Linked DNA regions of Danio rerio. The protein of the gene in region 1 binds, or shares a complex with, the protein of each later gene. Links are inferred from orthologs where the notes say so. Each region holds a gene or a part of one and is shown on either strand. Other genes may lie near its edges.

Region 1 (3,500 bases):
GTCCTCAGTCTCTGAGGAATAATCCTCATCGCTGTCCTCCTCTTCCTCCTCCTCCTCATCAGCTGAAGGGTTGAAAGTTTCATCCTCGATCTCAGACTCGGAGTCTTCCTCCCCTCCGCTGCCCTGAAACACACGTTAACAATATCAGAAAAGGATGAAACTTGAATCAGATGAATTATTAATGTGAAACACACGTGAATCTGCTAACAGATGCTCATATTATTATTACTTTATAAATAAATGCAATTTATCAAGTCAGACTGGTCTCCAGTGCATGTTGGACCCTGGCAGGGCTACCCTCTGTCATCCATTCTGTTCATCATTTATTTGGACAGAATTTCAAACTTGGTTGAGCTGGAGGGGGTTTGGTTCGGGGACCACAGGATTTTCATCGTTATTCGCAGACGATGTCGTTCTGTTGGCTTCCTGAACATGGACCTTCAGCATGCACTAGGGCGGTTTGCTGCCGAGTGTGACACAGCTAAGATGAGGATCATCCGGTGCTCCACCAGAAAAAGGTGCCATGCCATCTCCAGATTAGAGGAAAGTCCTTACCCCAGGTGGGGCAGTTCAAGTATCTTGGGGTTTTGTTTACAAGTGAGGGAAGGATGGAGTGTGAGATTGACAGGCGGATCGGTGCAGCAGCAGTAATGCGGACGATAACCGGTCTGTTGTGGTAAAGAAGGAGCTGAGCCTAAAGGCAAAGCTCTCGATTTAACGGTCAATCTACATTTCATACTCTCACCTATAGTCATGAGCTTTGGGTCATGACCGAAAGGACAAGATCTCGAATACAAGCGGCAGAAATGAGCTTTCTTCACAGGGTAGCAGGGTGCACCCTCATAGACAGGGTGAGGAGCTCTGCACCCAGGAGGAGCTCAGAGTAGAGCCGCTGCTCCTCCACATTGAGAGAAGTCAGCTGAGTTGGCTCGGGCATCTGCTTCGGATGCCTCCTGGACGCCTACCCAGGGAGGTATTCCAGCCATGTCCCACCGGGAGGAGGCCTCGGTGAAAACCCAGGACACACTGGAGGGACTATGTCTCTCGGCTGGCCTGGGAACACCTCGGGATTTCCCCGGAGGAGCTATAGCAAGTGTCCAGGGAGAGGAAAGTTTGGGGTTCTCTCCCAAGACTACTGCCGGCCCGGATAAGTGGATAAAAATGACAAGACATGACAATTTAAAATAATGACAAAGGACGTGATATGTGAGTGGTCCCTTTCATTTACTTATTGCTATATCAGACCTGTGCATCCCAGTTTGTGAATTTAAATGAACTAATGAGTTAACGTGGTCCAATCAAAGCGTCATGCAGGCCATAAAATGCCCAGATCTGATAAAGCACATACGTTTCTTGTGTAGTAAATTCTTATTTAAATGTAGTAGTCAATTTCAGACAGCCTAACACAGGGGTCACCAATCCTGGTCCTGGAGGGCCGGTGTCCCTGCAGGGTTTAGCTCCAACTTGCCTCAACACACCTGCCTGGATGTTTTAAGTATACCAAGTAAGACCTTAATTAGCTTGTTCAGGTGTGTTTGATTAGGGTTGGAGCAAAAATCTGCAGGACACCGGCCCTCCAGGAACAAGTTTGGTGACCACTGGCCTAACGCAAGAAAAGCTCCACAAAGTGACCTTGTTTCAAATGTTCAGACTCCTCACCTCACTCTCAGGGTCCAGGAAAGACCAGCCGCCCTGCTCGAAAAAGCCCTCCGGATCATCCACTATGGTCTTCATGATCTTGGTCCAGTTCAGAGACTGAATGCCTTCAGTGTATTTGATATCACACGAGCTGCGAACACAAAACAGAAGACGTCCAGTCAAACACGACCATATATAAAGACATTAATATTAAACCATCATACTAGACACTAATACCACGACCAAATAGACCAATTTAGACTAAACATCACATCAGACATTAAATACAGACTAATCATCACATTAGACACCAAATACCACGATCAGACAGACAAATTTAGTCTAAACTGTCACATTAGACACCAAATACCACGATCAGACAGACAAATTTAGACTAAACCATCACATTAGACACCAAATACCACAACCAAACAGACAAATTTAGACTAAACTGTCACATTCGACAACAAATACCACAACCAAACAGACAAATATAGTCTAAACTGTCACATTCGACAACAAATACCACGATCAGACAGACAAATTTAGACTAAACCATCACATTAGACACCAAATACCACGATCAGACAGACAAATTTAGACTAAACCATCACATTAGACACCAAATACCACGATCAGACAGACAAATTTAGACTAAACCATCACATTAGACACCAAATACCACGATCAGACAGACAAATTTAGACTAAACCATCACATTACACACCAAATACCACAACCAAAAAGACAAATTTAGACTAAACCATCATATTAGACACCAAATACCACGACCAAACAGATAAATTTAGACTAAACCATCACATTACACACCAAATACCATGACCAAACAGACATATTTAGACAAAACCGTCACATTACACACCAAATACCATGACCAAACAGACAAATTGTCTAAACTGTCACATTAGACACCAAATACCACAACCAAACAGACAAATTTAGTCTAAACCACACAACCAAACAGACAAATTGTCTAAACTGTCACATTAGACACCAAATACCATGACCAAACAGACAAATTTAGACTAAACCATCATATTAGACACCAAATACCACGACCAAACAAACAAATTTAGACTAAACCATCACATTACACACTAAATACCACGACCAAACAGACAAATTTAGACTAAACCATCACATTACACACCAAATACCATGACCAAACAGACAAATTGTCTAAACTGTCACATTCGACAACAAATACCACGATCAGACAGACAAATTTAGACTAAACCATCACATTAGACACCAAATACCACAACCAAACAGACAAATTTAGTCTAAACTGTCACATTAGACACCAAATACCACAACCAAACAGACAAATTTAGACTAAACCATCATATTAGACACCAAATACCACGACCAAACAGACAAATTTAGACTAAACCATCATATTAGACACCAAATACCACGACCAAACAAACAAATTTAGACTAAACCATCACATTACACACTAAATACCACGACCAAACAGACAAATTTAGACTAAACCATCACATTACACACTAAATACCACGACCAAACAGACAAATTTAGACTAAACCATCATATTAGACACCAAATACCACGACCAAACAAACAAATTTAGACTAAACCATCACATTACACACCAAATACCACGACCAAACAGACAAATTTAGACTAAACCATCACATTACACACCAAATACCATGACCAAACAGACAAATTGTCTAAACTGTCACATTAGACACCAAATACCACAACCAAACAGACAAATTTAGACTAAACCATCACATTACACACCAAATACCACAACCAAACAGACAAATTTAGTCTAAACCACACAACCAAACAGACAAATTGTCTAAACTGTC
Region 2 (4,299 bases), on another chromosome or scaffold:
TTATAAAAATAATATTACTGTTATATACTGTGCAATAGTATCACAATAATATATATTTTATGGACTTATTACATTTTTATAATTAATTGAAAAAAATCTAAAGCAAATTGTAATTACAATTGAAAGTAAAATGCTACACAGAATGCATTGCTTATTTTGTCTTACAATAAAGTCAGCTGGCGAAAAGGCGAGGCGAGAACATCTTGTAAGACATCTTGTATGTCCTGCTCTTAGTGCTCCAACAGCCTGAGTATTTACAACATTTACACTACAACATTATGTATTTACCTTGAATTAGCTACATCATGTTTAATAATATGTATTTTTGTATTTATTACATTTTTATAATTAGTTAAAAAAATCAAACATTTTAATTACAATTACCGATTCACATCACCATACATAACATACAAGAAACCTATTTTTATAGTGTTATTTTGCTTTTGATTATTAAAAAGCTTTAAAGATATGTTCATCGAAAGGTTCTTTGATATGGAGCGAATAATATGCCAAAACAATCTGAATTTTCTTCACTGTTGATGACCCCTGACCTACTTTTTGCTAAATCTGAATTTCACAATCTGATTTTCTGGTTTTAAAATTTAAAATATTGAATTCGATGCTCTGAATTTCTTCATCTTGAAAACTCAAAACTGTATTTTCACAAGCTCAATATCTGCAATCTATAAATTTAGAACGAAAAAATCTGAAGTTTGAAAATACGTCAATAGAAATCTGAAAAAATTCAGTTGTCTTAAATTTCAGATGTTCAATATTCAAGTTAAGAAATTCAAATTCAAACAGTTTAATAGCATTTAATATTAAATTTTATTAAATTACAATTGCTATTGTGATTCAAATTTGCACAATTTAAATTCAGATTGTTTTTCCATATTATTTGCTCCATACTTTTGGAAGACAAACATACTAAAAAACAGTGTTTAAGGTCACTACTGTCACAATCACCAGCGATCTAGACCAACGAATCCTGTCATGCACCTCACACACACCTGTTCCAGTTCTCTGTTGATTACACACACACACACACACACACACACACACTTTTTTGAGTCTTGTTTATCTGTGAGCATTACGACGTGTTTTCTCCCTGTTTAGCCTAGCTGTGTTTTAACCCTTTGTCTCTTTGTTTTGATTCTTTGCTGCTTGTTCCGACCATTCGCCTGTTCTATGACCACGACTCTGGATTCTCTGTATGTATCTGTTTTACCCTGTTGACTGTTGCCTGCCTGACCATTCTAGTAACAAACCTGTTTGTTAAAACAGAGCAATGAAATTTTCACAGTATGTCTGATAATGTTTTCTTCTGGAGAAAATCTTATTTGTTGTATTTTGGCTAGAAGAAAAGCAGTTTTACATTTTTTAAAAACACTTCAAAGACAAAGTTATTAGCCCCTTTAAGCTATTTGTGTCCGATGGTCTACAGAACAAACCATCACTATACAATAACTTGCCTAATTACCCTAACCTGCCTAGTTAACCTAATTGACCTAGTTAAGCCTTTAAATGTCACTTTAAGCTGTATAGAAGTGTCTTACAAATATCTAGTTAAATATTATTTACTGGCATCATGGTAAAGATAAAATAAATCAGTTATTAGAAATGAGTTATTAAAACTATTATGTTTAGAAATGTGTTGAGAAAATCTCTCTGTTAAACAGAAATTGGGGGAAAAAATAAACAGGGGGGCTAATAATTCAGAATGGCTAATAATTCTGACTTTAACTGAATATCTCAGACAAAAAGCGTTGCAACAGGAATGCACTGACCATTAAATTTAGCAGTGCCCCAATTCCAGCCCTTAACACACATGTCTTTCTCTGTTAGCTCCACTTTGTAGTTGTCTTTGAAGTATTCTGAGATCTTCTCAAGGTCCTGCGCAAAAAGAAACGGATGAAAATTTAAGACCTGGAATGAAACAGCGGATCAAACTGAGTGATCAATTGATCTGTAATTTGCATCTCAGACTCACTGCGTCTTTAAAGCCATCATATTTGTAGATGTGGCCAGTGCTGGTCCATAGTTTGATGCCGTGACCCAGACAGACTCTCCTCCACTGGGCCTGAGTGAGTTCAGGGACCGGAATAGTGTCCACCTTCCCGGTCTTACTGTTTTTATACACCACTGTCTGCTTACTGAAGCGCAGGCGGCCGTCATTCTACAAGAAAAGACAGTCGGTCAACTTTATTGAGAGTTTGATAGAAAAACACCTCAAGTTAGAGAACAAAACCTTTTTTAACTCACCCATGAGCCCTTGACCTCCTGATAAATTTCATTGAACTCCAAAGTGTCACTCATGTCAGAGTAGACAGAATGGACCTGTGACGTTTAAAAGCTGCGACAGTTATTAATATACATTATACATTATACAATTTCCACTGCAAATGGCAATATGAATGTGTTATGAATGATAGAAAACTCCCAGTTTACTCTGGTGTCAACAGTAGACTTTTATTATAGGTTGTTTTGGATGTAAAAATCTAGCTTTGTGCTTTAAGAAAAGCTTTTGCGAGTGTTATTATTTTGTGGCTGCACAGCGAGATGATGTCTAATAATAAACAAATAAAGCTAGCAAAGCTGGCGTTCAGGCATCAAACAGCGGCTTTTGTGACGAACGACACGTTTGCAAATTTACAGCAAATTTACAGCAGGCTTAGTACATTTCGAACGCTTTTGTTGCATATGTTATGAAATATGCGAGAAATTTGAATGAGTATTACTGTTATTCGGCGAGAGGATCAAGGCCGAGTCCCGTGAGCGTAGATGTGCGGCGCGCAGGAACGCCTTCGTCATGACGCAATCGCGCAGTGTGCGTGGCTCAGCCCTGCCTATCGAACGTCAGTCTGTTTTGTAAACGATCGAAACACAAAGGGAAAGTTAAAAGGCTTTATTGATGAAGACTGCTGCTGTCAACATTTACAAATAATTTATCATATGACGATATCCTATCAGCGTCCAGGTATGCAATATATTTCAGATATACTTTTTTGACAGTAGTGTTTCAAGCACTGTTGTTCGATGGATCAATAAATAAAGATCGCCTTTACTGGTGATTTTAATGCAATTTATTTAGAAATTAAAATGAAATGCTACACAGAATGCATTGCTTATTTTATGTTTTAGACCGAAAGCATCTAGTAAGATAGTATTTGCATGTCCTGCTCTTTGTGCTCTCACAGCCAGAGTATTTACAACATTATTGACGTTACAACATTATGTATTTACCTCGATTTAACTTGTTGATATATCTTATTATGCTACATCACGTTTAAACTAGGAAGCTAACACGTTAGTTAACATGTACTAACAATGAAAATACTGAAACTGTTGTTTACATGTGCCTTGTACTTACTAAAGTAATAACAGTGAATTATTTATAATTACGCATGATAAACTGATACCAACCCCTTTTCTTAAACATATACTATTATAATAAGTTAAATATAGTTTTTTTTTTGTGTGTGTGTGTGTGTGTGTGTGTAAAAACACTGGAACAAAGACTCTTAAAGGGGATAGTTCACCCCAAAAAAAGAAAATTCTGTCATCATTTACTCATCCTTCACTTGTTCCAAACTTGTTTGAGATTCGTTCTTCTGTTAAACAAAAACAAGATAATCTGAAGAATGTTGAAATAAAAAACAGCCTATGACTTGTTTTTGATAATTTTTCCAACATTCTTCAGAATATCTTCTTTTGTGTGCAACAGAACAAAAGTTTAGGAATTTTCATTCTGTGTGAACTATCTCTTTAATTATTGTATAACTGAAAACACTTTCAAAGTATATATTCATTTTAATGCATTACCATTTATCGATAGTTCATTGATTGAAGTTACATACATACTGTAGCATATGTATTGCTCATTGTTTGCTTTATTTCAGATATGACACCAAAGCGTGGCCTCATCACCGACACCTTTAAGGTTGTGAAGAAGGCAAGGAGAGGAGGCAAGAGAAGCAAGTCTCCTTCACCACCGAAAGCAGGTCAGATAGTATTTTGTTCTGTGTGTTAACATGCATCTTTAAGCAGAAATCATTCCATATCACTATGGTCCTAAAGTGTGCAAATGCTTTAGAGGCACATGCAACCATGTAATGCATTTATAACCTGTTATTACTGCTCAGAGCCTGAACCCCCACAACTGAGTGAAAGAGAAAAAGATATACAGGAGCTGAAGAACTTTGATCTGGATTGGAAGTTTGGACCATGCACAGGTAAACGTCTGTTTTTGATTTTACATTGATTATAATAACGGCAGCATGGTTGCGCAGTGGGTAGCGC

The links.
Region 2: supt16h (region 1) and ssrp1b share a complex: the UniProt entries of both Homo sapiens proteins name them as parts of the FACT complex. The link is inferred for Danio rerio from reciprocal best matches to the Homo sapiens genes SUPT16H and SSRP1.

What each region holds. Positions count from the first base shown.
Region 1 is NC_133182.1:2,079,826-2,083,325, reverse strand, and holds part of supt16h (FACT complex subunit SPT16), read right to left. Parts: intron 1,790-3,500; coding exon 1,660-1,789; intron 124-1,659; coding exon 1-123. UniProt on the Homo sapiens protein: Component of the FACT complex, a general chromatin factor that acts to reorganize nucleosomes. The FACT complex is involved in multiple processes that require DNA as a template such as mRNA elongation, DNA replication and DNA repair.
Region 2 is NC_133176.1:47,969,222-47,973,520, reverse strand, and holds the start of ssrp1b (FACT complex subunit SSRP1), read right to left. Parts: upstream 2,801-4,299; 5' UTR 2,739-2,800; intron 2,354-2,738; exon of another isoform or gene 2,338-2,353; 5' UTR 2,317-2,337; coding exon 2,263-2,316; intron 2,177-2,262; coding exon 1,991-2,176; intron 1,894-1,990; coding exon 1,788-1,893; intron 1-1,787. Other genes in the region: pold4 (DNA polymerase delta subunit 4), read left to right, coding at 2,953-2,977, 3,900-4,001, 4,143-4,232. UniProt on the Homo sapiens protein: Component of the FACT complex, a general chromatin factor that acts to reorganize nucleosomes. The FACT complex is involved in multiple processes that require DNA as a template such as mRNA elongation, DNA replication and DNA repair.